Saccharomyces cerevisiae S288C: one gene and its partners. Changing the gene in region 1 together with any one later gene gives a genetic interaction. Each region holds a gene or a part of one and is shown in the gene's direction. Other genes may lie near its edges.

Region 1 (6,630 bases):
ACTGCTAAGTTTGGCTGTTGAATACCCCTCTCATATTTTATGGTATATCACAGCCCTTGTAAATTCCAATTCTTCAAAAAGAGTTCTTCGTGGTAAGCATATTTTAGAAAAGTATAGACAACATTCGCAAAATCCTCATGATCTAGTTTCTAGTGCATTGGATTTAACGAAAGCATTAACTCGTGTCTGTTTGCAAGATGTCAAAAGCATTACAAGTAGATCAGGCAAATCTTTAGAAAAAGACTTCAAATTTGACATGAACGTGGCCCCATCTGCAATGGTTGTTCCAGTAAGAAAAAATTTAGACATCATTTCACCACTAGAGTCTAACTCAATGAGGGGCTATCAACCATTTAGGCCGGTTGTTTCTATAATTAGATTCGGATCATCTTATAAAGTGTTTTCTTCATTAAAGAAGCCAAAACAATTGAACATAATAGGTTCAGATGGCAACATTTATGGGATCATGTGTAAGAAGGAAGATGTCCGACAAGATAACCAATATATGCAGTTCGCCACAACAATGGATTTTCTTCTGAGTAAGGACATAGCTTCAAGAAAAAGAAGCCTGGGCATAAATATTTACTCCGTACTATCTCTTCGAGAAGACTGTGGGATATTGGAAATGGTACCGAATGTTGTAACTTTAAGATCTATTCTTTCTACAAAGTACGAAAGTCTGAAAATTAAGTATAGCCTGAAAAGTCTACATGATAGGTGGCAGCACACCGCAGTAGATGGAAAACTCGAGTTTTACATGGAACAGGTAGATAAATTTCCTCCAATCTTGTACCAATGGTTTTTAGAAAACTTTCCTGATCCAATCAATTGGTTCAACGCCAGGAATACGTATGCCAGATCTTACGCCGTCATGGCAATGGTTGGCCATATATTAGGTCTAGGTGATAGGCACTGTGAAAACATATTACTAGATATACAGACGGGTAAAGTTCTTCATGTAGACTTCGACTGTTTATTTGAGAAAGGCAAAAGGTTACCTGTCCCAGAAATTGTTCCCTTCAGACTAACACCAAATTTATTGGATGCGTTGGGCATAATTGGGACAGAAGGAACATTTAAGAAGTCTAGTGAAGTCACGTTGGCTTTAATGAGAAAAAATGAAGTAGCGTTGATGAATGTGATCGAAACAATTATGTACGATAGAAACATGGACCACTCAATTCAAAAAGCGCTAAAGGTCTTAAGAAACAAAATCCGCGGTATAGATCCGCAGGATGGCCTGGTATTGAGTGTTGCTGGCCAAACAGAAACATTGATCCAAGAAGCAACATCAGAAGACAATCTAAGCAAGATGTATATTGGTTGGCTTCCATTTTGGTAACGACTTTCCACCATTTTCGGCAACAGACGAACTTCCTCTTGATCTAACCATCACTGCAGGTGCTTTTCTCCGGCGGAGTTAATAGATACTTATCCCCGCTTCATGTCATACTATCTCTCTTAACAGGGATGTTGACACCATATAAGTTAACATAACATATACGTACGTAATAATATTAAGGACTATCTCGCATTTCAAAAGAGAAACAACCTAATCAAGCCTTATTATAAGAGCAAATTATTCAAAAAAAGTCTACGGAGAAAATTATTATGGTGGTTTTAGACAAGAAGTTATTGGAAAGATTGACTTCTCGTAAGGTTCCCTTAGAAGAGCTCGAAGATATGGAAAAACGATGCTTTTTGTCTACTTTTACATATCAAGATGCCTTTGATTTGGGGACTTACATAAGAAATGCAGTTAAAGAAAATTTCCCCGAAAAACCAGTTGCAATTGATATCTCCTTACCAAATGGGCATTGCTTGTTTCGCACAGTGACCTACGGTGGCAGTGCATTGGACAATGATTTTTGGATCCAGAGAAAGAAGAAGACAGCGCTTCGATTTGGTCATTCAAGTTTCTATATGGGCTGCAAGAAAGGTGACAAAACACCGGAGGAAAAGTTTTTTGTGGACTCAAAAGAATACGCTTTCCATGGAGGTGCTGTCCTAATACAATCGGAGAGAAGTGACTACCCCTATGCCTGCTTAACTATAAGTGGATTGAAGCAGGAAGAAGACCATTTAATGGCAGTCAGCTCTTTAATTGCATTTGCTAATGAAAGTCTAGAAGAAGATTTGAATTTGGATTGAGAATGTAGGTAGAAGTAAAATAGAGGCTTGAACACCATAGAATATTTTTTACCCGTTACTAGTATAACTGTTATTTAGTCGTAAGCTTTTCATATATATATTGATTGTTTTGCCCTTGAAAAAATACACAGCACCAATGCAGTCCTGTTTGTTTTAGTGATCTCTTAGCAATGTATTTTCAAGGTTGAAAATTTAAACGATCACTATTTTGATTGCGTAAGAAATGCGGAAGTAAACCATTTATTCTCCACTTCCACTTCAATTTTCTTCTTGCTTCCAAAAACCAATTCATTGATTTAGAGCCCATTGCATCTTTATTAAAATGATGTTTGATTGACTTATCATTTTCTAGCAATTGCAACTGCAATCGTTCTATTAGTTCCTTAGAGAAGCTGTCCTTTTTTTTTGATATTTCCTTTTTAAGGTCGATCTTGTTATCTTCTATGTGCCTATTTATTTTTTTTGGAACATCTGTCGATAAATGAAACGGTTCTGCTGAATTCTCTAGATCACTAAAAGTACCGCTGCTTAGATTTGATTCATCCATAGATGATTCGAACTCGCAGTTCTCAAAGATTTTAGCGGCTTCTTCATATCTAACTGTGCATTGCTCACATACAATTTCTTTATAGTATCCTGAATTTAAAAGTCTCGAGCTAATTTCATATAGGGCCTTTTCGCAGATGACACATTTCCTCAGTTGGGAATGAACATTTAATTCCGATAGATAAAGATCATCGTAACTTTTATTGGAAGATGGAATATTAACCAAGTTAACCACCATATTTTCAATGGAATTTGGTATGGAAATATCACTTATTTCAATTTCCTCTTTGATAAAATCTAAGGGGTTGTTACTTTCGTCCCTATTTTCTTCAGTATTCCTTAATATATGGGGTATCAGTGTTAGTGAATTCGGTTCAAAGCTATTTCTATTGGTTTCCTTATTAATTTCAGAATATGAATTTTTTACTCTCAGCGGGATATGATTATCTCTTCTTTTACTTAGTTTTGATTTCAAATCTGAAATAGATACCATTTTTTTTGTTGATTTACTTTGGGTATACGGTATGTAGTCTTCAACCAGGACTAGCGGTGGTATATCCTGAGAAGTATTTTCTGTTAGCTCGTAGTTTTTTGTATCTAAACTCGGCCCATAACTGACGTACCTATTACGTTTGTTGTTATGCACTCGCAGTTCATTTACAGGATTCAACCTGGGCCGTTTTTTATTGTTGTTGTATTCGTTGTTTCCACTGTCATCTTCATTAGTTTCGATATTGCATGGAGGCGCAATTGGCAAAGACGTAAAGCTCTTGTCATCAATTAGATCTAATTTGGAAACAGATTGGTACAATTTGGATGGAATTTTAGGCTTGGCACCTATCAATTGTGAGCGACGCTTTCTTACATTCAATAACTGTTGGTTCTGATTTTCACTTTGACTATTGCCTTGGTATGGAGAATTTCTCTGCAATGGTTTTGCCTGCTTCGAAGGAGTGCTGTTACTATCGAAGATAAATTCCTTCTTTTCAAATTGCCATTGTAACATGGAGTTATTCTCTATATCCTGGACGACTGGAGGAGTCAAGGGCCTGGAAAGTACGGATCCTGTAGAAATATCACTGGCAATTATACTGAGTTTATTGTTGGTGTTGCTATTCATATTTGAGCTGGTATTGGACGAAAGCAAGGATAATGAGTTTGTGTCTACTGACTCCAACACCCTAGGCTGGATTTGATCTTTCTCCATCCTTTAATTTTAACCTTTTAATTAGTGGTTGGATCAAGTTTTCGAGACTATTCCAATCTGTGACTTGTTGGATAAATAGTTTTTGACTCGTTTAGTATAATCCTTTTTTCTAAAAGTGCTTAGAGTTCTCTAAGATGTTCTTGTTTACAATGTGAGCGATTTAGGAAATTTCCTAAAAATGGCCGAGGCGGCGCTAGCATTCTACGAAAGGTGAGATAACGCTTCGTTATCGAAAAATGTCAGGGGACAGGGGTTATATAAGAACGAAAATTGTCATCCTGCATTTTTTCTTTAAAACAGCTATACAAAAAGTGATACCGACATACAATGAAGTATCTAAACTTAGTTTTCGTGCTTCAGCTTCTTATTAGCATCAAATACGCCTCATTCGGCCGAGCCTTTTCTCTTTTTGAAGATGATACCACCTTTGCCAATTTGGATAAACAGCTAAAGCTTCCACAGAATACACAGCAAACCCTTAAATTGGACCGTTTGAATCACGATGATCCGCTGTTTACAACTTTTATTTCTTCTGTGGACACAGATTACAGTTTGAGACTTAGAACAGTAGATCCTTCTAAACTAGGAATTGACACCGTAAAACAATGGTCGGGTTACATGGACTATAAGGATTCCAAACACTTTTTTTACTGGTTTTTTGAAAGTAGGAACGATCCTGCTAACGACCCAATTATTCTTTGGTTAAATGGTGGACCTGGTTGTTCCTCGTTTACTGGGTTGCTATTTGAACTAGGCCCCTCATCAATTGGCGCCGATATGAAACCAATCCACAATCCCTATTCTTGGAATAATAACGCTTCAATGATCTTCTTAGAACAGCCACTCGGAGTCGGCTTTTCCTATGGTGATGAAAAAGTCTCCTCTACAAAATTAGCAGGCAAAGATGCGTACATTTTCCTGGAATTGTTTTTTGAAGCTTTTCCTCATTTACGCTCCAACGATTTCCACATTGCAGGCGAATCCTATGCAGGACATTATATCCCTCAAATTGCACATGAGATCGTTGTCAAGAACCCTGAAAGAACGTTCAATTTAACTTCAGTTATGATTGGTAATGGTATCACAGACCCTTTGATTCAAGCAGATTATTATGAACCAATGGCATGCGGGAAAGGGGGCTATCACCCTGTTCTCTCATCAGAAGAATGTGAGAAAATGAGTAAAGCTGCAGGTCGTTGTCGTAGGTTGAACAAGTTATGTTATGCTTCTAAATCAAGTTTACCATGCATAGTCGCCACTGCTTACTGTGACTCTGCACTTTTGGAACCGTACATTAACACAGGACTCAACGTCTATGACATTAGAGGGCCCTGTGAAGATAATAGTACTGATGGTATGTGTTATACAGGTCTCCGCTATGTCGACCAGTATATGAATTTTCCTGAAGTTCAAGAAACGCTAGGGTCCGACGTGCATAATTATTCTGGCTGTGATAATGACGTGTTCACCGGATTTTTGTTTACGGGCGATGGAAGTAAACCATTTCAACAATATATTGCTGAATTATTAAATCACAACATTCCGGTATTAATATATGCGGGTGATAAGGATTATATTTGTAATTGGCTGGGAAACCATGCTTGGTCCAATGAGTTGGAATGGATCAATAAACGTAGGTATCAGAGAAGGATGTTAAGACCATGGGTCAGTAAAGAAACAGGTGAAGAGTTGGGACAAGTCAAGAACTATGGCCCTTTCACCTTTTTGAGAATATACGATGCCGGTCATATGGTGCCCTATGATCAACCGGAGGCAAGTTTGGAAATGGTCAACAGTTGGATTTCCGGTAATCGTGCTTTTTCGGATCTTTCCACCTTGGAAAATGCTAGTTAGTAGTGCTCTAAAAATGTTTCACTCTTAACCTTGCAATCATTATACTTTACACAAATCTCTACGTTTCATTTAATTTAAAATCTACAATCCAACAAATATAAAACAAAATATAATTATAAGGAAAAACGTATATAATCACTGCAATACTCTAATTTAAAATTAGGAGCACGACATTCTTGCCAGTATCATTGTTGCTAATCTTTTTCTCTCATAAATTGCCACTTGATGTTCACCCTCTCCTTTTAACTTTTCTATATGTTCCTGATCAAAAATATCCAGAGGCTTCACAACTGACAAGCCTCTCTTTTTTAAAAGTTCGACCATTTCATCATTAAATTCCTCTAGGTAATTAAACTCACTGTGTGTAACAAGCATCCCAATCAATTCAAAAGAGACAGCAACCGCTTCAGATGATTGTTCTAGGGTTGATAACCTCCTGAATTCCTTTCTAGTCAGCGTATAGAACCTGAATACACAAATAGGGTTGACTTTGAGCAAATACCTCATCAATAGAGCAAAACGGAATTTACATGGTTCGTCTGACATAACACAGCTAAACAAAAGTGCTCCTTGGTATAAGACTATATTAGATTTATCTGAGTCTGAACTTAGCCAGTTGATCAAAGTAAGTGGCACTTTTAGTGTATTATTTAAAGGTACCAGTTCATCTTCGAAGCCGACTTCAAGTAACAAGGTAGAAAGTTGTTCAGGACTTAAGACCAAATGGAGTAAGAAAAGGTAACAAAGATAATCGGAGGATTTTGGGTTGGACTTTCTTTCGTAATATGTATTCTTGAAAAGGGCCTGTAGACAATCTAATGCGGCTCCTTTTACGACAGGAATGGATAAACCGTTTGCAATGAAACCTAAAA
Region 2 (9,245 bases), on another chromosome or scaffold:
TGTTTGATTAATGTGAAATGCCGACGTAAAGTCAGCAAGGTAGAAGTCAAAATCCTTACAATGGCCTCCATTAAGAACATGCATTTCTGTTATTAAAATATTTGCTGTTTTTATATCACCATGAATTATACCATTTGTTTTCAAAGATTTTAATGCGTCTATCATTTGCTTCATAAGTCTCCACCATATTTTTCTTTTTGTTATCAACGAAAGCTTATGTGACACTGCTGTATTGAAGTGATATAAACTCATTTCGCATTTCGGAAGAATAAGGCCAGGAACACATTCGTTGGACCTCAGTCTTCTAAAATGGGATTTAGTTATGTATGTCAACCCATAGAATGGAATAATATGACTTTCATTGGTTGAAGGACTCATGTACTGGAGATATGCTAGCGTCAAAGCTTCCTGTAAAATCACCTTGCTTTTATGCTGTGATTTGGCAAACTTTAAAACAACCCCTGAATCGTTGTTACATCTTGATGAAGCACTTGATGATATAGGGTACACATATGAATAACTTCCCTGTCCCACTAATTTGTTAGACGGAAGAGAATAACTTGGATTTGACAAAAAATCCATCTCTGGAGCAAGTAATATGCCCATCAAAAACTCATCCAGAAATTCTAGGGAAGAAACTGTATTAGAAAGACGGAACATTAAAGCCAAATTCTCCGGAGAGTAAAACCGGGGGGTAGTGAACAATACGTCTAAATCGTTCTTTAGGTGCGCCTCCGAGGTAGCAACGGGCGCCTTACTAGAATAATCTGTCTGGAATGCCTCACTGAATTTAGCTGTCGGCTCCTCTACAGGAGATACCAGATGTGAATATGCGAAGTTACTTTTATGTTTTTGCGGTTGGCGATAAGCAAAACCCTTACTATTGTTACTTATGGATGGAAAGGAACCATCAGAAACCCTGGTGACGGGTGACGTAGGAGGTGTACTGTTCATAGCGTGACGTTTGAGAACTAGTCTTTGAGATGTGTTTTAAGACGATTTTTGCTGTTGATGAGGTTAGATCCCCGTTATATAAAGGCAAGAATCTATTAGCAGCGCTTTTTGTTTATTCAATGCTAGTCAAAATAAACAATAAGATAGACCCATACATCACAATCTAGCTGGTTTGCGATCATGTTGATTGACACATTATATCCTTGCTAGGGAACATAAATTTTCGTCATAGGCTATACAAGCAGCTGAGATATAGTGAAGGAGGTAAGCAACTTTTGAAACACATTTACGATCTTCTAACCTTATTAACTTGTTGCTTTAGCTTTTAGAACTCCATTTACGTCACTTTTTTGAATTTTCGCCTGTAAAGGAATTGTGAAAAAAGTGTGGGATAGAGATAGAACATAGAAAACAAACCAAATTCGTTGGGACAGCGAAGTAGCGCAAACTAACGATACTGTATTGTCAGGCTCTAAAAGGGTGAAGTTTTGATGGAAGGGCAAAAATCGAATGCATCATGGGAGAGCTCGATCATCGAGGGCCAATTGTCTAAAAATCTAGCAAGGTACACCTTGTTATTAGACAAATTATCGACACTATCTCAAATAGACAAGCTGTCTGAAGTGATAGCCAATGATTACGCAAAACAATCTAAACAATTAAATGCATTTGTGCAACAGTCGCAATCATCGCTCAACAAAGAGTCCCGGAAATTAGAATTGCAAAGAACTAACCTTACGACTACTTTGACTCAGTTTCATGAGACTGTGGCCACCATTTCTTCTTCGAACGCAAGAGCAAAAGCTATACATGACGATATTGAAACTGTAGATCAGGAACGCGCTTTGGTCAACAAAACGTTACAATTTGTAAAAGACGTCAGGACGCTAAAGAATAATATTTCACTGGCGCATTCTGCTTTAGAAACAAAGGATTACTTAGTTGCTGCGACAGCAATCAATGAAATTAGAAGCCTTCCGGATAAAAAACTTATTGTATCCGAGTTTGCCAAGAAAGTTGTGCCCTCGAGTGAAATTCCCGAAGAACCAGCTATACTAATAAAGAATTGGTGTAAGGAACTGACAAGTTTATTTCAGGAGCAATTCATGGAAGCAACAAGAACACAGGATATTAAAGAGCTAACCTTAATGTTCAAAATGTTCCCTATGATTGGGCAGGACGTACTTGGTTTAGACCTGTATTCCAAATATGTCTGTGATATTATTGCGGACGAAAGCAGGAAAATTATGTCGAATTCTATGGAAAACAGCACCAAGTTTCAAGGATTTTTTTCACAAGTACTGTTACATCTTTTTAAAATTGTATCGACCATTATAAATGATCATTCAAAAGTCATCGCCACGTGTTATGGAAAAAAGCACATGGTGCATGTCATGGAAAAAGTAGAAAAAGAAGCTGATCTTCAAGCTAGTTTGATTCTAGATATTTTTATGGAGACGAGGAAAATAGAAAGGACTATACATGATATAAATGAATGGGAACATTCACAAAAGAATGAAGATGTGAATATAGACAGTAATCAGTCGGATATCGAAACAGACGGAGAAACGGAAAAGAGCTCAATTATATCCATTCATGACTTGGCATTATTGATAATGGAATTTTCTCAAATACTTCAAAATTGGTCCATGTATTCTAGATTTTATTCAGTTAAATGGAATGAATTTAGCGATTTGCATCCGCATGTATTGCAACCACCTCCACCAATAGCAGATGGTAAATTTGCCTTAAAGTTAAAGCAAGATAAGGTCTTTGATGAGTTTCAGGTGTTTGTGTTGAACCATCTGCAGAGATCATTTAGAAATAGTATTTCACTAGAAGAATTACCGTCACTGAACGATCTTATAACTGCTGTTCCCCTCAATGACCACGATAACATTTCATACCCTGTAACATCTGTTTTAGATGACTTAATTTTATTAGTTCGGAAAAATCTGATATCAGTGGTTAATACTGGCCAGTTTAAGCTCTTAGCAAGTTTTTTGAACGAGTTGGTAAAATTTTTTCAGAACCGATTTCTGGTAAAATTTATGCAAAACAAATTTAAGTTACTACAATCGAAACTAGCCTCCAATGTATCTTTGAAAAGATACATTCCAAAAGGTGAGGAGCAATCTGCAACATCAAGATCGGTTTCTCCACCTGCAAATAAGTTTTCTCCGCTAAGCAGGTTCACTTTTAGAGGGGCAGCAGCTAGCGCTTTGACAAATATTCAATCAAATTTACAAGCCGTAGTTGCAGAGGACGAGGATTCCATTCTTGCGTTGCACCATTATTTGATATATCTGAACACGTTGTACTTGAGTAAAGTATACGTTCACAGGCTGTTATCCATAGAAATATTAGAAGACGATTCGCAAAGGATTTTGAGAGACAATTTCCCTTTTGACAATGATGCAGCGCAGTTACAGAATTTAATTATAAACTCAGAAAAATTAGTCCTGGAACAAACAGATAAGCTAAGCAAATGGGCTGTCAAATACTTGTTCCAAAATATCCTACAAAATAGGGTTCGGAACTTATTGGGAACTGTTTTTGTTAATTCAGCCTCATCAAATTCCTCAACGTCCAATCAAAAAAATGTGTCTCGCGATTATTCTGCAGGTTCGAACCAAAAGAATTACATCACAAGCATAGAAGATTTCGAAGATTTGTCGCAAATTAACAGTTTCAATAGCAAATGGAACCAATTGATTATCCCTTACAAAAATATTCTTCACAACGAAGCATATGCAGAGTTGCTATCTGTCATAGTCGACTACATCGTAACAACATTGGAGCAAAGAATATGGACTCTAGAATTCAATGAACTTGGTGTTACGAAATTAGATAGAGAACTGAGCCTTTTCATCGGCAATATGTGTGGCTTGAACTATAATCTCAGAGAGAAGTTCTTGAAATTGACACAAATCGTGTTGCTTCTCGGTTTAGATGATGACAATTTTGATTTGACTACAGGTGATATCAAGGATGACTTCAATGGTACTTTCGATTGGGTGATAAACTCTCAGGAAAGAATTAAAGCTAGAAATATGAAGATTGATAGAACACAGTAAATATAACATAAGCTTTACGAGCTGAATACTAAGTAGTTTCATATAAACGCAAACATAATCTTGGCTGTTGTACCTTTTCTGCATACTCTTGACTGTTAATACATTTCTTATTTTTCTTATGAAAGAGCACAACATGATAGCGCCATACTATCATTCTGAACGTTGCGATTAACTGGAAATTACGAAGACTAAGACAAGAAAAATTAAAAGCGTTAATAAAAAATAAACAAAGGAACCTTTGAAATATATTCCGTCACCAAGCTAAGAAAGGAGTAGCTCTTTCTCTAAGGCCAACTTTGTCATCCTTTGAGTTAGTTTAAAGTCTATTAATATTTGCTATTATCTTCTGGGCTGGATAAATAGGACTTTTCTATTGGCACATTTTTTTCTCTTGTAGAAGGTCATCACGAATATTAATTTTGTATTTGAAAGCATTTTATTTTCTCCTTTTTTTATTACCATAATATACCTGGTACTGGTTTTTACCTGATTTAACGTCTAGCCGCTCAAAACAAAAACCCACTCATATCTATACAAATATAAGAATAAGATGGATGGGGAAATGGCAATAATAGAAAGCAGCAATCATGTCGGGACTTCATCGCCTACCACTGAAACACAGTTTACTATAGATTCTTCCGCATTGAAAGACCAAGAAACCAAAGAAAGCATAACAAATTCACCGACAAGCGAGGTACCGATTGAAACAAAACTACCAAAAAGTTCTGATATAGTAACAGAGGAAAAACATCCTCAAAACACGACTACTGATATTGAAAACGAGGTAGAGAATCCTGTTACAGACGATAATGGAAATTTGAAACTTGAATTACCTGATAACCTTGATAACGCTGATTTTTCGAAGCTACTGGAATTTGATGCAAAAAATGATGAAGCTCTGTTCAACTCAAATGAGTTGTTATCCCACACCATGGATCCTGTAAATAACATCGATTTAACTCATGATCACAGCAGGGAGGTTTCATCAAAAGAAGATATCAATATAGAGCCAGTAAACCCTGATGAGGACGAAAGGGAGAAAACTCAAGATAACACAGCAGCAGTGAAAACTGAAGGCATAAGGAACTCAGAAGATACAAGTATACAAAAGGATGAACCCACTGCTGATGCTATATACACAGATGTGCATAAATTATCAGTAAACAAAGATACCGAGACCCTACCAACATTAGTAGATGAAAAAAACAACATGCTGCATATGAGAAACAATTCAATAACGCCAATAATGTTTCAGCAGCATGAATTAGTGGGACAACCGCCACAAAACACTGTAACGGAAAATAATAGTACAGATGCTGAAACTACCCAACGAAAACTATCTGAGCCAATCGATGCAAGTTTACCGCTACCGAATGAACAACCGACTATCTTCGCCTATGCAAGGCTGGACTTTCAAAGTTTCACATTTTATGTACAAACATTACATGCAATAATCGGAAGGAGGTCTGAGAATGACTTCTCCCACAAAGTTGACGTTAATCTTGGTCCTTCAAAATCAATATCGAGGAGACACGCCCAGATTTTTTACAATTTTGGGACAGGAAGGTTCGAATTGTCCATAATAGGGAAGAATGGTGCTTTTGTGGATGACATTTTCGTTGAAAAAGGAAATACTGTGCCACTTCGTAATAAGACAAAAATTCAAATTGGACAAATTCCATTTCAATTTATTTTACCAGAACAAGAACGTAACGACGATAGCAAAAGCCCAGAAAACGCTGACATAGCAGAATCTGAAATAAATACAAGAAATCTCAAAAAAAACGAGCCCAAATCTAAGAAAAAGATTACAACTGGAGCAAAGCCCAAGAAAGCGCAGACCAAACCAGCTGTTAAGAAAGAAAAGAAGCCACCGAAAATACCAAAGAAAGTATATACTTTGGAGGAGATTCCAGTAGAATATAGAACGAAACCTACTGTATCTTACTCTGCTATGCTAACTACTTGCATACGAAAGTACTCGACTGCCAAGGGAATGTCTTTATCTGAAATTTATGCAGGAATAAGAGAACTCTTCCCCTATTATAAATACTGTCCTGATGGGTGGCAAAGCTCGGTAAGACACAACTTATCGCTAAATAAATCTTTCAGGAAGGTTTCTAAAGAAGGCAAAGGATGGTTATGGGGTCTTGATGAAGAATATATTGCAGAGAGGGAACGACAGAAAAAGAAACAAAGTGAGATAGCTGTGGCAAAGGCACAAGCTGCACAATTAAAACTTGAACAGCAACAGCACAAACTTCAGCAAGTGCCGCAGAGGGGCAAAAAAGATATTGTTTCGCAGAGATCTAACGTTAATGCGAGAAAACAAAACATCTCACAAACTCTTGCAGCAAACAGAGCCGCCTCGAACAGGAAAAATACAGCAAGTGATAATCAAAGGACAATGAAATATCTGCAGGAACAGCTTGTCATTTTAACACGAGATAGAAAGGGTTTATCGAAGCAGGTCATCGCTGCAATTTTGACGCAGGCTCTAGCTATGACAATAAATCAGGTTACACAAGCGGCAAAAAACAAGGGGATTACTGGTAATCCACTTACAGCCTTGATGGACAAGAATCCTCAGCATTTGAATCTAATTTTAGCAGCTGCTGTAAACGCGGCAACTGCAAAAGTCACAAAAGGTGAGGTAAAGCAATTAGTGAACCCTGAAACTACAGCGGCGGCGGCTTTAGCAGCTAAGGCACAGCATTCCAAACCGATACGCCAACCAATAGTCCAGACGCCGCATGTACCAGATAGGCCTCCATCTCAGTTATCTGCGTCGGCATCATCCCATCCCAATAATTACTTGCATGATAAACAACCGGGATCGTTTGATCCTTCGTCCTTGTCTCGATTTTTTCAACCGAGACAAAATGCTAGGGCTACATCCTCTGTGGCAGCTACGTCAGTTCCGGCGGCTGCTTCTCAAAATGTTGATGCACAACCCAAACCTAAGCCTGCACAGGACAACGACTTAGAAAGTGAAAGCGGCACTAGTAGTAGTAGCAGTTCCAGTAGTGAGAGCGGAAGCGAGAGCGATAGTGGTAGCGATGACGGTAGTGCTAGTGGAAGCGGCGATAATAGCAGCACTAGTAGTGAAAGCGAAAGCGAAAGTGATAGTGGAAGCGAAGTAGATGAAAAGAACAACAAAAACGAAAAGATCGATAGTGAAAGTATTAAAAACAACGAATCTAAAGATGATATTCCATCTAAAGACGAGAATAGTAGCAATGATAATCGCGAGATTTCAAAAACCGACGAAGAAGGTCATGATTCTAAAAGGCGGAAGGTCAGCGAGGATATCAACGAGGGTATCACTGAAGTAAATGTATCCCTTGAGGAAAAACTTTAAAAAATTTCGATAATAGTATTAGCATATTCGAAGTAGAAGCATAAATCTTTTCATAAAGATAGATCGGATCAAGCCATAGTAATAGGTATGAATCTATGCGTCCTATTCTGTTTTGCGTTGTTGAGATTCAGTCTTCGATTTTTACAAAATTTTCCATCGGGTCGCCTCTACAACTACTTATTCACTTCGTTTGATTTCGGGTTTCACTTTTTGTTTGCATTGATGGCGTCTGTCCTCATATTACCGAACAATACTTAAAGATATAATTATATAAAAATATATAGATGTGATGATTGGAAACATGAGAACTGGACTTCCTTCATAATTCTATGGGAAGCCATATTGGATCCTTGAAGAGAATAATGTATCATTAATATAGATGTGCATATACATATGTTTGATGCTTCTATTTAGCCAATAACGTTGTTGAAAGATCCTTCCTCTTCCTTGACCTTCCAAAATAGTTCACCTACGTCATGATTACCGTGATATATCCAACCATCCTCGGTAACATGATATAAATTTACAGAACCACCAGAGTAAGCATCTCTATGGGCAGCAGCTAAAATAGATCTCTTACCTAGATATAAAGCATCTTCAACGGATAAATCCCATTTATAGTTAGAGTCTAGAACACCATATGCAAATGTTTGACCTGAACCAACGCAGAATATGTCACCTTTTAATCTTGTACCGTCTGAGTCGACGTAATAAATGGTTGGGCCCTCCTTCCTAGTGTAACCACAGATCATAGTACCCATTGATAAACCGGCCCCTTTATATTGGTATACTAAATTGCTTAAAATCTTGGATGCGGCTGCGACAGATATACGTTCCTTTTCCCTCAGCTCGTGCAGCCTACACTGAGAACCTAGCCAAGTTTCCCAAAATTGACAATCTGCCGCACCACCAGCCATTGTACCCAATAAAAATGGGTTGATCTCAATAACTTTCTTCACAGTTTGAGAAGCAACCCAATTGCCGGCAGTGGCACGAGAATCTACTGCCACAATAATACCGCCTTGAAATCTAAATGCTAAGGTTGTAGTACCATGTGCGATCTTGATTTTACAGTCTGGGTTTCGTGAATCATCTGTGTGTGCTCTTAAAAACTGCTGTGGAGACGCAATTGGTGGAACCGTAAGCGATGGTGCCAAACGTTGAAACTGGGAGGCGCCCGTTACGAAATCGCTCTCTAAGTTTTGTTCGTTGTCATATTGAAGTTCCTTAACCAATCTGTTTGGTACACTGAAACTATCGGCAATAGCTTGCATGTTTGTTTTTTTTTCCTTCTTTTCTTTCTGGTTTCTTTCTATCTATTCAATTTAATAGTAAATTTGTTATTCTCTTTTGAAAATTGATATATTGAAGCCTTTCTTTACAATTCACCTTGCATTATTGAAGGAGTGCTATTCTTCGTTTTGCCACCCTTTTGCTGTTTTCCCTCATATCACATAATACCCGGAGAGGCTCTTTCCTGCGACAGCGCAACATCCAACCATCCTAAAGGTATGGGTGTACTGACGATGCGATTATTTCATTAAGTTCTGTCTTTTTTGTATAAATGAAAAAAGAACGGTGAAATCCATAGAAATACAGAGAGCGACGCAAACAGCGCGCAGACTCTACGGGTAATAGACTCACATCCACGTGACCAGTTTCCAATCGAACTTTTTCACTTTGCAGGGAATTATTGTTTCACTAGCAAAGGTAGCCCACTTACCACTCAGCTATGCGAAAGTTTCATTGTTTGATACATCTTGATAGTAACCGCAGGCTTCTTTCTTAGTTCATATTTTATTGTATTTCAACTAATATTATTTTTTTTTCAGTGGAAGGGAAGGTGAACCAAG
Region 3 (7,563 bases), on another chromosome or scaffold:
TATACACCCGTTTTTCTCTATCCATTTCTTGTCAATTTCTTCCAGCTTCTTATCCAGTAATTCTGAACTTTTCTCATAGATGGACCGATAGTTTGTTTCCAATGCCTTTAAATATTTTTGGATTTCACTACTTAACGCAATGTTAGGGGTATATGCAATTTCGTGCAGAGAATTAAAATGTTCAAACTCATTTATCCATGTCTTTTGTCTTCCTAGTTTATTCATCAACTTGCTACTTGAACTCTTATACAGTCCCACGCCCCCTCTTCTTGAAGGGACCATACCCCTAACTCTAGCTGCATTGCGGGTTGCCAGACTCCTGTTTAAACCTTGTGGTTGATGGTAATTGCGGACTGCTTTGGAGTTGAATCTATGCGTAACCATTTTGACTACCGCTTCGTATGCTTTCTTGCACTTTGTGGAGCTACTCATACAATAGCTTATAATCTGTGTAGTCAAACTATATACTAGGCAAATTACTAGTAAATGCAGTATTCATATGTCCTCAAACCGTTTTTTGCAGTATGTTATTGATCCATCGAATCAAAATTTTTCACCGCCAAGAGAAAAAAGATCTTACTATTTTGTGCTTATGAAAAAATTAGTAAAAGTAAAGCTGGAAGCACATACAAGCGCAGCTGAATCACAAAGGAAAATTGGCACATCCTTGGTTGACACTTGTCTATTTATTAAAAGGTTTTAAAAAGTAGTGTTCAGCAGTTCTATCATATTTTTTTATTTAAAAAAAAATACTGAGAGGAAGCGTATTGTTAAGACACAATTTAGGGTGGCGTTAAATAAACGAGAGAGCCCAAAAATATAACCAAGATAAAGAAAATCAATCATAAAGTGAATTCAAAAATGTCATCGCAAAACCTCAATGATAATCCAAAAAATACATCCTCAGCAGCTGAAGATAAGAAGAAACAAACTTCATCCTTAAAGTTGGCACCAATACCAACCACATCGCCATGGAAATCATCTTCGCCAGATAGCAATACAGTAATTCCTGTAGAGGAACTAAGAGATATATCAAAGACTGCAAAGCCAAGTAAAAATGGTTCGGGGTCAATTAAATTAACAAGCAATACCAAATGGACTCCAATTACGCCGTCTGTTATAATCTCAGGTTCCAAGGACACAAATTCAAAGTCAGGAAAGAACTCTAAAAATTCTAAGACTAATAAAAAAATGAAAAAGCGTGGCAAATATAATAACGATATCAATAAAAAGGACTTTAACGGTCAAACCAACAGTACATCGGAAATAAGTAACGTTTCCAATCTTGAATCCAAACCTTTAGATGCTAACGCTAAAGTAAACATACATTCAAGCTCAGGAGCAACTGCCAATGGGAATATAAAGAGGATAACAAACAACAACAATTCAACCAACGGTAGACAATCAAGAAATTATCAAAACAGGAATGGCAAAACAAGATACAACAACAATAGTAGACACAGTCAGGCGGCTAATAATGCCATCTCCTTCCCAAATAATTATCAGGCTAGACCTGAATATATTCCCAATGCCAGCCACTGGTTGAACAACAATTCAAGAAATAGCTATAAACAACTGTCATACTTCCGTCAACAGCAGTATTATAATAACATCAACTATCAACAACAATTGCAAACACCATATTATTACTCAATGGAACCTATTTTTAAATCTATCGAAAGTATCAAAAACCAAATTGAATTCTATTTTAGTGAAGAGAACTTGAAAACAGATGAATTTTTAAGATCTAAATTCAAAAAAGCCAATGACGGATTTATCCCCATGAGTTTGATAGGGAAATTTTACCGTATGGTTAATTTATCTCTTGGTGGAGACCCAAATTTAATTTTGGCATCTATGAGAGAAGTTTTACAACATAAAGAAACAAACCATTTGGAAATTGCCCTTGGAAGCATAGAAGGTGCTCAGAAGAACATGGCAGATGATTTCAATCCATTGGAAAACTATTTTATTAGGCGCGAAAATTGGGCTGAATACGCTATGGAAAGTAATTTTGATGAAAATGATGACGAAACTGAAAAATACAACATTGAGAAACTATTGGGACCGAACGATTTAGACAATTATTCTTATATGGGCTATCCAAACTTCTTTCCCAGTAATGAAAATGGGAAAAAGAGTCAGAGCTATGACCAAGGTGAAATTAGCAGGCAGTTTGAACAAAACTTACAAATAAATGATTAATTTTAGACAATATTTTTTTTTTTTTTTTTATTATGTATATAGTTAACATGTATAAAGTAATAGCAGATTCTCTCTAAAAATATAACATAACATTTCATTTCAATTCGTACTAAATAATTTTTTATATAACAGATACATAAGATATTTATATAGAGGAAAACGAAAACAAACTAAAAATAAGCTGTTAAGAACAGATATGTTTTATGCCACCAGAGCACACAAAGCTGCGCCAACACCGGACCCATCTTTGGCTAGACGCAAATGTATCTTACGTTCACCCTCAGTGCCAATTGGACTTAATGCCAAAGCATGTCTCAGCATGGATCTGAATCCAGGATAGTATTCGATGACATAACCGTCAAAACCAATTTCTACCTCACCGTGATATCTTTTGTTCAAAGCGTTTGTCTTGATTAGGATGGCGGCAATCGGAACGGCTGCTAGATATGCAGACCTTCTCGTAATGGAACGGACCAGATTTTGAATTGCTTTACGTTCTTCAAAAGTGGTCGGTAGCCTCAAACTCTGCAAAAACGACAATTCAGTTTCACGCAAGTTTGTCGAATCATCGATTTCAATCCTGGAAAGAACTTCACTGCACAATTGGAAAGGAGTCTTTAAACGGTGAGGTAATTGATCGTAATTACGATACTGTCCCAAGATTAAGCCCCTTGCATGCAAGTCCACCAGGATGTTCCTTAACAGCTCACCCAAGTACATGCCGGAAATTCTTTTTTCAAATAGATGGTAACCTGGATTTGGAGAAAATTTTTGGTCAATATCGATGTCATACTTTGTAGCAGACAAATGTTTCAATTCATTGTCGAAAGAACCCCATTCGATGTTGATGCACATTTGGGTTTTTCCTTCATGCAGCAGTCTTGTTCTGAGCTCATCTGGTAGCTTCTTGATGTTTTCAATATCCTCCATATAGCAACCGTTAGTACCAGTACCAAAGATACAACCAATGACAGGCTCGCTAATCTCACCAGCACTCGATGGACGAGAGCCTGAAGTGTAGCAGTGGGATAGGAAAGTGCCAACCGTGTCGTTGGTCAAAGCTACCACATTAATCATAGAGAGCCCCTGAATGTCTAATTGCTCCTGGTATAACCTCACGACATCCTTGCCGACCGTGTCTTCAATCTTGAAGCTTTTGGTCCATCTGATTAAAGTACCGGAACTCAAAGAGGTTTGGTCAACGGGATATGAGAAGGTAAATCCCATTTTCAAAGGTTTTATGTTCTCCCCCGTGGACTTCAACAACTCAGGATGATGCTTCCTAACGAAGGCCCTTGTACGGCGACCCAGGTAGCTAAACAGCTCCTCGCTGGTGACATCCTTGTCATTTAGATATTCTTCCGGAATCTTAGACTTCAATTGCTGCATATCAAAGGTTCCGTCACCATTCAAAGTCACAGAACACACTCTGAAGTGAGTCCCACCTAAATCTGCAGCCAGCAAAACACCACGTTCCGTCCCATTGGGCAAACTGGTTACATATGTAGGGATCATGGGTAGACCCTTGTCCACCGTCTTTTCTTCGCCTACAGAGGTGTTATTCAACCCCTTTTCCATACATTCAATGAAGTACGCTGTTAGTTCGTCCAACTTTGCTGCATCAACCTGCAATGAGGAGCAGATCTCAACCACTGCATCTTCCAATGCCTCAGCATTGACTTTATGTAAATTTTCAAATGACATTACTGTGTATCTATGATTCGATTCTTGTACAATTCTTCCTTGATACACTGATATCTGTTTCTATTTAAACTTCCTATAAGTATGAGACGTACAAAAGAACACGAGACAAGATGAGATTTTACACTTACACAGAATCGACTTTATATAATCCCGAATACATGTTTCCCCCCCCTGCATCGCAAGCATAATAGAATTCGACGACCCGATCTTCTTCCTCTGTCTTCCACACACACAAACACTAATTCACTCTCACTCTCTCACTTTCCCTTTCGACGACACACACAAAAAGACTTTCTGGATGCCCCGCGTTTTTTGTCACTTGATTCTTCGAACAAAGACGCAGGCAACTACCCCTGAAGGGCCCACCCGAAAGTAGTTGCTACTGCTCGTTGCGGTGGCTGCCAGAGTGGCGACGTAGCGTTGCGTTGTGGCTAACATTGGTGAGACAACCCGATTAAATTACTTAATGGGCTCTCCCACCGCCTTTGCACCCAGTGACAGCCATTTTGAAGATAGCATCGGGCTGGCTTCCAAATAAAATCTAGGTCGTTTCTATTAAGTTCGTTTCGTTATTTTTCTGTCTTCGCGGCGGACACGCAAGCCGACGACGACGAGGTTTAGTTGCATTTTGGCTATCATAAAAGAAATGGGCTTGTCGCAACGGGATCAGGACCAAGAACAGGGGTGCTGAGACTACTACTGTAACTGCGACCGACACAGCGTGCGAAACTAGGGAAGTAAAAAGGTATAGGAAGAAGAACTATGTTTAGAATAGCTAAAAACCTCGTACGGACTTTTGAGCAGAGCGTGCAAGATACCCTGGCACTCTCGCAGGACTCGAGCAATCTGGACGCTTTCTTTCAGTCTATACCACCAAATTTGTTGTCTGCTCAGTTGGAATCACCCGTAGATGCGGTTTCTGAAGGTGTTAAGCACACCAACGTCAATGAAACGCTTTCCGGTCTCCGCATTGTTTGGGTGGACGAGATGCAGTTCCAACTGCAGTCCTTTTTCGACTATATAGTAGGTTTCAATGATGATCCGGTGCCGGTGGTCAGTAATCAACACGGATTTTCGTACCCAGATTACCGTCGTATCACATCCATCTTCAATGAACACTGTGGCCGAACTTTGAAGGTCAACATATGGTCAGCTAAAGGAGGCACGTTCAGAGACGAGTATATCAGCATTATATCGAAGGAGAGCGACGATTTGGACGATGTTTCTCTAAACCATGACGAGAGGAGGCCATCTAGTGGGGAAGCGCACCAGTTCCAAGCACTCGGGTTCAAAGTCCAATGGACGCCTTTGATAGCTTCCACTTTCACATACCATATCCTGAACGTGAACATCCCAGATGGACCCGCCCAATCGGCAGGGCTCATCCCAGATGAAGACTACATTATCGGCTGCCAAGATGGCCTGTTGGCCACGGGAGGGGAGACGCTTTTACAAGATATTGTTAGATCAAGAGCAAACTACGATCTGGTCCTTTATGTCTACAACAAAGTTTCTGACTGTGTGAGACCAATCACAGTTCATATAGGTCCCGACGGCAGGTTGGGTTGCAACGTTGGATACGGGTTTCTTCACAGGATTCCAACAGTAAAGCACTGTCCACAACAAGCACAGCAGCAGGGGCAAGATGACAACCCTGTTCCTGTTCCTGTTCCAGTAGAATCTGAGACGGCTTTTGTGCCATCAGCATTCACAGCACCACCGGTGCCAACAAAGAAGAAATCAAAAAATAAAAAGGGTACCCAGCCATTGGCAATGGATGACTATTTTAATGAAGGCAGAGATAAGTCATCTACCGCTGCGAAGTCAGCAGAATCTGACATCCTCGCCCCACCACCACAAAAACAGTCATCCTCTGATTAACTTTCCTGGTTAGTCTTTTGGTTTTGTTTCATAGCAAAATTAAATATATATATATAAGCTTGCTTTCCCTTCAAAACACGTAAACGATAGTTGGCAATGTACGAAAAGTACCGAGACTTTTTTTCAAAGGCACGCGTGTCCTTTTTTGTTAAGACAATAGATATTTTAGCATTCAGAAAGTTTCAATTTCCAAGACTTGACGTTTCAATTATATGGCAATCTCCCAACAAGCACCCGCTCATATAATACCATGCAAGTGACCACAAGATTTATATCTGCGATAGTCTCGTTTTGCCTGTTTGCTTCTTTCACGTTGGCTGAAAACAGCGCAAGAGCTACGCCGGGATCAGATTTACTCGTTCTAACAGAGAAGAAATTTAAATCATTCATCGAATCTCATCCGTTAGTCCTCGTCGAGTTTTTTGCTCCATGGTGTTTGCATTCTCAGATCTTACGCCCTCACTTAGAAGAGGCCGCCTCTATTTTAAAGGAGCATAACGTCCCAGTTGTTCAAATTGATTGTGAGGCTAACAGTATGGTTTGCCTGCAACAAACTATAAATACCTACCCAACCTTGAAAATCTTTAAAAATGGTCGTATTTTTGATGGTCAAGTCTATCGCGGTGTCAAGATCACCGATGAAATCACTCAGTACATGATTCAGCTATACGAGGCTTCTGTCATTTATTTAAATTCCGAAGATGAAATCCAACCATACTTGGAAAATGCAACTTTACCAGTAGTAATAAACAGAGGCTTGACAGGCTTGAATGAAACGTATCAAGAAGTCGCACTGGACCTTGCTGAGGATTACGTCTTTTTATCCCTTCTAGATTCAGAAGATAAGTCATTATCAATCCACTTGCCAAACACTACAGAACCAATTCTGTTTGATGGAAATGTAGACTCTTTGGTCGGAAATTCCGTTGCTCTAACTCAGTGGTTAAAAGTGGTAATTTTACCTTACTTTACCGACATCGAACCTGATCTCTTCCCCAAGTACATTTCTAGCAATTTGCCGTTGGCTTACTTCTTTTATACTTCTGAGGAAGAATTGGAAGATTACACTGATCTTTTCACGCAGTTAGGTAAGGAAAATCGTGGCCAAATAAATTTCATTGCATTAAACTCTACAATGTTCCCACACCACGTTAGATTCCTAAATATGAGAGAACAGTTCCCATTATTTGCTATCCATAATATGATCAATAATCTGAAATATGGTTTACCACAACTACCAGAAGAAGAGTACGCGAAATTAGAAAAACCACAACCACTAGACAGAGATATGATCGTTCAGTTGGTAAAAGATTACCGTGAAGGTACTGCCAAGCCAATTGTTAAGTCAGAAGAGATTCCAAAAGAACAAAAGTCCAATGTTTATAAAATAGTTGGGAAGACACATGACGACATTGTTCATGATGATGACAAGGATGTCCTTGTCAAATATTACGCGACATGGTGTATTCATAGTAAAAGGTTTGCGCCTATTTACGAAGAAATTGCAAATGTCTTAGCATCTGATGAATCTGTTCGCGATAAAATCTTGATCGCCGAAGTAGATTCAGGGGCAAATGATATCTTAAGTTTTCCTGTGACAGGATATCCAACCATTGCTTTGTATCCTGCCGGAAATAACTCTAAGCCTATTATCTTCAATAAAATTAGAAATTTGGAAGATGTTTTCGAATTTATCAAGGAATCAGGTACACATCACATTGACGGCCAGGCAATTTATGATAAATTGCACCAGGCCAAGGATTCTGAAGTGTC
Region 4 (6,913 bases), on another chromosome or scaffold:
AAGAGCCCAGCCATACAAAATAATTTATAAAAACTGTGAACAGGAAGCTTCTCAGTTTTTATCGGAGAACCCATCTCTGGGGTTAGACATTCATCCGCATTAAAACTCCTATTTTTACTCGTAGTTTTCGGTCTTCAAAATAAAGCAGATTCCTTAAAGTTAGATGCTTTTATTCAACTTAATCAGTAATGTAACATAATATGTACCAAGGGACTCGACTCTTTTTGACCCATTGTTTAATTAATATGTGTTATAATTACAAGAATAATGCATTGTATGGACATATCTAAAAATACATAGAATAATTACATAAGGTCGAAAGTTGTGAGTGAATACATTAAAGTAGTAAAACTTCACCTATAACATTAGATTGCCCAACGCTGACTACTGTCTTCTAGATATGGAACTTGTTACTCCTTTCTAATAGTTTTCTTCGAAGGGCACCTTTTTTAGCATATGCGCGCAGTTTAGTTTGCAGTCGGGTAGGGCCAAAATTAGAATATCTTTTGTTACTTCCATTATCGCGGTGATCATTGCGGGCTTGTAGTGATTTGATTCGATTCATAATTTCATCCTTTTTAGACATATCAGGTTCCTGACGTGTGATTACTTGATTTTTCAATGCGTTTAATTTAACATCCAAATATTTAAAGTATAGTTTTCGTAAAATTTGTTTGTCATTGATATCTGTAAAAGTAGAGTTCACCTCCCAAGTGGAAACATCGGAAGCGTGGAAAAAGTTTGGAGTCTGTGTAGATGGTATATCTTTGTACCAGTCTCGTTTCATCATGTCAGAAATATATTTACGGGATTCGGTGTCGAGAATATCGTTCTTTTTTAAAGCAAAATCAGGTAGATGTGTAGTATTAGGATGATGGTGATAGAAATGCTTGACATTTACTTTAAATCCAACTAAGGAATTCAGGTGTTCCTCCAAAAGATTTTCGTTATATGAGCGGAGGTTTAGTAGCTCCTCTGTTAATTGTTCGTTCGAAGTATCCTTTACCAATAAAGATTTATCCTCGTACTCAGGTGACAACGGCAGGGCTACAATATTTAGCACCGGTTCGTTAAAGAAGCGGCCACTTTTGGATCGTTTTTCTTCAACTTCGGTTTTAAGCATTATTTTGCATTTTTCCCATTTCGTATTACTTGAGTTAAGTAACTGCTCAACGTGTTTCAAAATATTACTGAACAGATTCATAGACATCTTAAATTCCCTATTAGCCACCAAGCAAGCAATTTTCCTATCGTCCCTGTCATAGTGTAGAATGTAGTCCTCCTCACCATATATCCCTTTTGTGATATCATTCTTCTCCTTTAACAAACTGTCGAATTTGCTGTTATACGAAGAATGGATTATATAATCTAATTCGTCCAAAGGTAGATATTGGAATCCAAACATCTTAGAAATATTGTGGTATGCAACGAAAATACCGTCCATTTTGCCAATTCTAGCTTGCAAAGAATACTTTAGAAGGGCAGACCTGATTAGTTCAAAATATTCTCTTTCCAAAGACTCAAATTCCCCATAAACTTTATCTATCTCATATCCAGTTTGGTTGTTATTACTCTCTACATGTGATAAATCGTATCTTATGGCAGAAACTGCTCTTGTCTTCAGATCAAATACACCCGTTCCAGGTAGATTTGGGTCGTACGCGTCCAATTGAGATCTCACAATGAATTCATCTATACTAGAATAGTGATAATTTTCACTTTTTGAACTATTCTTCAGGGACTTTTCCGTTAAAAAGTCTTCAAGATAATGACCTAGTACAGAAAGCACAATCTCCCTATCCAGACTTCTATCTGAATCAATAGAACAAATGCCATTTCTCTTCTTTCTCAGAATGACTGCTGACGGAAAATATGCACTTTCTGAATAATTGCAGTTTTTTTGAGGAAAATTTTTCGATATCGAGGAATCAATGATATTCAATCTTCTGAAATTGGATAATAAATAGTGCAACTGAGAAAGTACTGATGTCATGGAACTTGATGAAGATATGTACTTTTTTCTATGTTCTTTGGCAACCTTTAACAGAGATTCATCTTTGTGGGGTGTGATGAATATTGGCTTGCTTTGTCCTTCTCCAGAGGAGTCTGTGTTCACATCTTTTTCACTTTTCTTTTCCAAATACTCTGGATTAATATTTTCCACTGCAGGGTCAAAATTATACATTCTGCTCCTATTATCTCTCAATTTTTGTAGCGACAACGGTTGGTATAACACTCTCGTTAATCCATGACCAATCCTAGGAGGCTTTTGGTTGTGTTTTTGAACACCATCTTGATTGTAACGTACTAATGCGTGCCTAATCTTCTGGACATTTATCCGAAAAGTGTATGAATTGCTATCTGAATATGTTCTGCTAGCGGGATATGTTCTCCTAGCGGGATATGTTCTCCTACCAGGATATGTTCTTCTACCAGGATACGTTCCTACCTTTGTCCGCTCCAAATACTTATCATGTCTATACTCCTTCTTTATATTTGTTTTCAGTAGATTAATCGCCTTGTCCATTTCTTCCGTATATTTTTGTCGACCTCCCTTTTCCTTGTTTCCAATGTCCTCTACAGTCGAATTTGTGTCATATATTTCATCGACCATCTCTAAAGCACTATGCAGGTCAGAACGTAGCTTGTCTGGTGTTTCTCTTCCACTAGGGGCATTTGTGAGAGCAGCGCCAAAGTGATAAATCGATCGCTGTTGATAGCTTTTAGCGGCGCTACCTATTCTGCAAGGCTCAACAGATAGACGTCTGGACAGGAATCTACAGTTGTAGAACCCCATTATCAAAACTATAAAAGTATCAGGTAGCGTTTGGCTCTTTTTTGTGCTCTCTCAAGTGCCCTGTTTATATTATATTTTTACATATTTGTTTCTTTATTAACCAACGGCATTGACGGAAACGCGCTTTATTATGGACTACTTTTTTTTCACTGTTTCCTGTTTTTTGACGTGATATACTCAAAGATGAGCGATTGACGATCTGAGAATTCTATTTGGGAACTCTTCTCTGCTTTGAAGACATTTATTTCCCAGCTGCCTTTGAAGTAGTTTCACGAGCGCTAGTGAAGTTTTTTCATAAATATATATTCCCAATCATCGCTAGGAATTATGCGCGTTTTTACTTTGATTGCGATTTTGTTTAGTTCATCTTTGTTAACACATGCATTCTCCTCTAATTATGCTCCTGTAGGCATATCATTACCTGCTTTTACCAAAGAATGTCTTTACTATGATTTATCCTCTGATAAAGATGTCCTTGTGGTCAGTTACCAAGTTTTGACAGGTGGGAATTTCGAGATAGACTTCGATATTACCGCCCCTGATGGCTCTGTTATCGTCACTGAAAGACAAAAGAAGCATTCTGATTTTCTACTGAAGTCGTTTGGTATAGGTAAGTACACTTTCTGTTTGAGTAATAACTACGGCACTTCCCCAAAGAAAGTTGAAATCACCCTCGAAAAGGAAAAGGAAATTGTTTCTTCCCATGAAAGCAAAGAGGACATAATCGCAAACAACGCCATCGAGGAAATTGATAGGAACCTGAATAAGATCACCAAAACAATGGATTATTTAAGGGCTAGAGAATGGAGAAACATGTATACTGTGAGTTCTACTGAGTCAAGATTAACATGGCTCTCATTACTAATTATGGGGGTAATGGTTGGTATCAGTATAGTGCAGGCATTAATTATTCAGTTCTTTTTTACCAGTCGCCAAAAAAACTACGTATAGGTTGCTTTTCAAGCTCTTAAAATTGTTGGATCAGCTGTGCTAAGGGGAAGGCACTTTTTTGTATCATGATCCTATTTTTTTTGTTATTTAATTATTTATGACATACCTTTATACTTTAGTTTTCAAAAATCCAATAATAGATAGGCAAGGTTTACGGAAAAGAGTGGAGTGCAAAATAAATAGAGGAAAGGCAGAAGGAAGAAGGAAAGCGAAAAGAAAAACGAAGATATATTTGGAGAAAAGTATAGAAATAATAAAATGAAGACACATCGATTGAAGTATGCTCAAATGATGAGAAAAAGAGACCTTTATCTCAGGCCACAAACAACCATTGTCCAAGTGGCTTATCTTTGCTATAGTTTTGTTCGAATATTCGGGGATTCTATCTTTGGTTTCTTCAACAAGTTGACCCCATTTACCAGTTCTTTTTTGCTCTTCATATACTGCTGCTCTTTTGAAATGTGGCATGCCCTAAACTTCCTCACTTCTTCGAGCTTGTAATGAATTGCTGTTTCACTGTATCTCGCTGTCACAATCATTTTCGTTCTCTTCATTTAATGTGTTATTCTCACTTGCTGTGTTGAAACTGTTTCTTAATTCTGGGTTTTTGATTGTGTATTGGTCCTTATCATTGTTAATCCTTAGATTTTTTACATATTCTTCAAGTTTGCTCCAATTTTCTTCACGTTGCACCTTACGCTGTTGAGTTTCTTTTACACTTGATAAGTACAATGCATTACAGTTTTCGTACAATACTGGGTTTGTTTCCAGAAAAATTTTCAATGCCTTGAATGCCATAGCATGAATTGCCCTATTCCACGAACCAGAATTGATTGCTTGCTCAACAAGCATGTAAGGGTCTGAAATGCTATCTTCGCCATTTGCTGTATCTAGCTCTAACTGAGAAGTTAATTCATATAATGCAGGAAATATAATGGGTAGGATGACTTCGGCATTTTCGATACATAAGTTTAAGAAATATTCATTATTCCAATAACTTAAAACCTTTTCCGCCACTTGGAAATGTGGAGAAGAAATACACTTAGCTAATTGAACAAATAACGGAACTTCTACTTTAATAAATTCCAGCGGTTCGATCACTTCAAAAATATCCTCGATTTCATTTAGAAACATTATCTCTTTTGTGGAATTTATTTTTGGCCAATAACGCAGTAAGCCCATAACTACCTCTTCGGTTAATAAAGGATCTTTTTCGAGAAATTGAACGATACAGTAAGCCAACTGAGGGTGGTATAATGATAAACAACGGACCTTGTGTAATGGTATCAATATCCTCACCAAGAAAACCTTGTGCTCTTCCTTTAATGGAAGTGCAAATCCATTAATTATGGAACCCAAAATTTCTAACAATTCTGCCACACCGTTAAACTTCTCAGTCTCATAAATAAATTGCAAAAAAATATTATTCATCGACCGACGAATAAAGCTTCTTAATGATAAGAACTTCCCATATATTCTATGCAGTGTCGTTTTCAAACAGTCTCTTTCTCTGATATCTTCGCTATCAAATAATTCCAGTAACTTTAAAATAAAGTCCTGATCAATATATTGTTTAGCAATCTGATGATTGAAATCAGGACTTTCCACAAACCTTAAAAAGAATTCGTAAACAGCTTGCATATGAGGCCAGGCTAGTTCGTTAACAGGTTCATCTTCATCTGGGTCATAAATGTCACCAACTGGATTTACTGGTGGTGGAATAGGTCTAAACAGATTGATTTTGAACATGTTCACCACATGAGCGTACATCTCATTCGTGTAAGTGAACCTATTTGTTACAAGGAATTCTATTAGCTCATCTAAGGTGCTTCTTTTAATCTCTTTACCTTGAATGTCAAAACTTGGATCATTAAAGTCAAACATAGTGTTACACTGGTCAACTTTGGCAATGAACAAAGGGATTCTTTCTTCAGGAGAAACTTCATTAAAATTTGGCAATTTCGTTAATGGCGTATATCTAGATGGCTCGAATCTAGATGAAGAATGACGTTGGGGAGTCTTAATTAACTCTAAATCTGTGTCAGGGTTAAGTTTTGTGGGTGTTGGTAGTCTCTCAAATGAGTGTGATGATCTCGGAATGTCGATACTTTGTGAGGAGGCGTGGTTTGCATCCTGAGTATTACTAGTATTAATATTCATATTGTTATTATTACTATTACCATTTTCTACATCAGAAGAAACTGCTGTACCTGAAGCATTTGAAATGGGAGATGATGGAACAGCGGATACTGCCCCCAGCAAAGTAGGATGTGCATGATCTTCACCAGAAGTGCTTTTGTCGTCCTTAGTAACAGTGAGTACTGGAGTGGGGTTCATTATAGCGGCAGATGATGAAGAAGATCCTTGCTTTTGAGATTGTGATGGCTGTTGCGATTGTTTGGACTGTTCTTGTCCTTTTCTTGAACTTGTTTTCTTTGTGGAGCTTGAACCGGAGCGACTGACACTTGAACTTCTACTGCTACTGCTGCTGGAAGAAGGGGTCGTCGCTGTTTTTGTTTTTGATGTAGAGCTACTATGATGCTTCCCTTGCGAGGGAACACTACCAGATTGCTTGCCCTTCTCAGTTGTAGACTTTGATCCGGTACTGCTGGCAGAACTGTGAGTAGTCCCGTGGGAAGAGCTACTAGCCGAAGCGGGCTTCTTTGATGTGGATGAGGTAGTGGAACTTTTTTCTTTTTCCTTCTCTTTGTCCTTCTTTTTACTGCTTGAAGAAGAAGAAGACCCGGTGGTCTTCTTTATTAATCTTTGCTTGAAACCACGCATCATATTGAAAGTGGATGTTCGAAAATAGCACGTGCCTATTGATCTTAATAAGTAGAACTTTTATACAAAATAAAAAAGCCAGTTAAAGACGGTATTGAGGTGAACAGGTATATGGAGAAGGGTTTATATTTTTATCTAACAAAAAAAGGAAAAAAAAGCAAAATCGAGGGGGGAAGGAAATGAAACCCAAAATACTTACGGCGACGATGGTTTATCCTTGAAATGAAGAGTTTTCCAATGAAGAAACGAGACGTATTGACATGCCTACCAATTGAAGTGGAAAACAAAGCGTAGTTTCACATACTCTTTGATAATCAATTGTCTGATACTTTTTTTTTTCCTTTCTCGCAGCCGGGATAGGGGGTTGTGACCCGGCAAAAA

Evidence for each region.
Region 2: mutations in YBR137W (region 1) and FHL1 together harm fitness more than expected from each alone (negative genetic interaction), as found in Saccharomyces cerevisiae (one large-scale study listed by BioGRID).
Region 3: mutations in YBR137W (region 1) and GRH1 together harm fitness more than expected from each alone (negative genetic interaction), as found in Saccharomyces cerevisiae (one large-scale study listed by BioGRID).
Region 4: mutations in YBR137W (region 1) and ERP4 together harm fitness more than expected from each alone (negative genetic interaction), as found in Saccharomyces cerevisiae (one large-scale study listed by BioGRID).

The regions. Positions count from the first base shown.
Region 1 is NC_001134.8:511,433-518,062, forward strand, and holds YBR137W (uncharacterized protein), read left to right. Parts: upstream 1-1,611; coding exon 1,612-2,151; downstream 2,152-6,630. Other genes in the region: protein kinase MEC1, read left to right, coding at 1-1,342; YBR138C (uncharacterized protein), read right to left, coding at 2,330-3,904; ATG42 (carboxypeptidase C), read left to right, coding at 4,232-5,758; GTPase-activating protein IRA1, read right to left, coding at 5,918-6,630.
Region 2 is NC_001148.4:731,770-741,014, reverse strand, and holds FHL1 (Fhl1p), read left to right. Parts: upstream 1-4,581; coding exon 4,582-7,392; downstream 7,393-9,245. Other genes in the region: putative protein kinase ISR1, read right to left, coding at 1-954; Golgi transport complex subunit COG4, read left to right, coding at 1,446-4,031; PRE2 (proteasome core particle subunit beta 5), read right to left, coding at 7,803-8,666. UniProt on the Saccharomyces cerevisiae protein: Acts as a transcriptional regulator that recruits coactivator IFH1 to the promoters of ribosomal protein genes. Recruited to ribosomal gene promoters by RAP1.
Region 3 is NC_001136.10:1,472,568-1,480,130, forward strand, and holds GRH1 (Grh1p), read left to right. Parts: upstream 1-4,671; coding exon 4,672-5,790; downstream 5,791-7,563. Other genes in the region: YDR514C (uncharacterized protein), read right to left, coding at 1-432; SLF1 (Slf1p), read left to right, coding at 862-2,205; EMI2 (putative glucokinase), read right to left, coding at 2,407-3,909; protein disulfide isomerase EUG1, read left to right, coding at 6,041-7,563. UniProt on the Saccharomyces cerevisiae protein: Involved in the spindle assembly checkpoint. Involved in ER to Golgi vesicle-mediated transport by either facilitating USO1-dependent and -independent tethering or increasing target accuracy of fusion events of COPII-coated vesicles.
Region 4 is NC_001147.6:357,296-364,208, reverse strand, and holds ERP4 (Erp4p), read left to right. Parts: upstream 1-3,124; coding exon 3,125-3,748; downstream 3,749-6,913. Other genes in the region: PET127 (Pet127p), read right to left, coding at 395-2,797; YOR015W (uncharacterized protein), read right to left, coding at 3,857-4,216; protein phosphatase 2A regulatory subunit RTS1, read right to left, coding at 4,262-6,535. UniProt on the Saccharomyces cerevisiae protein: Involved in vesicular protein trafficking.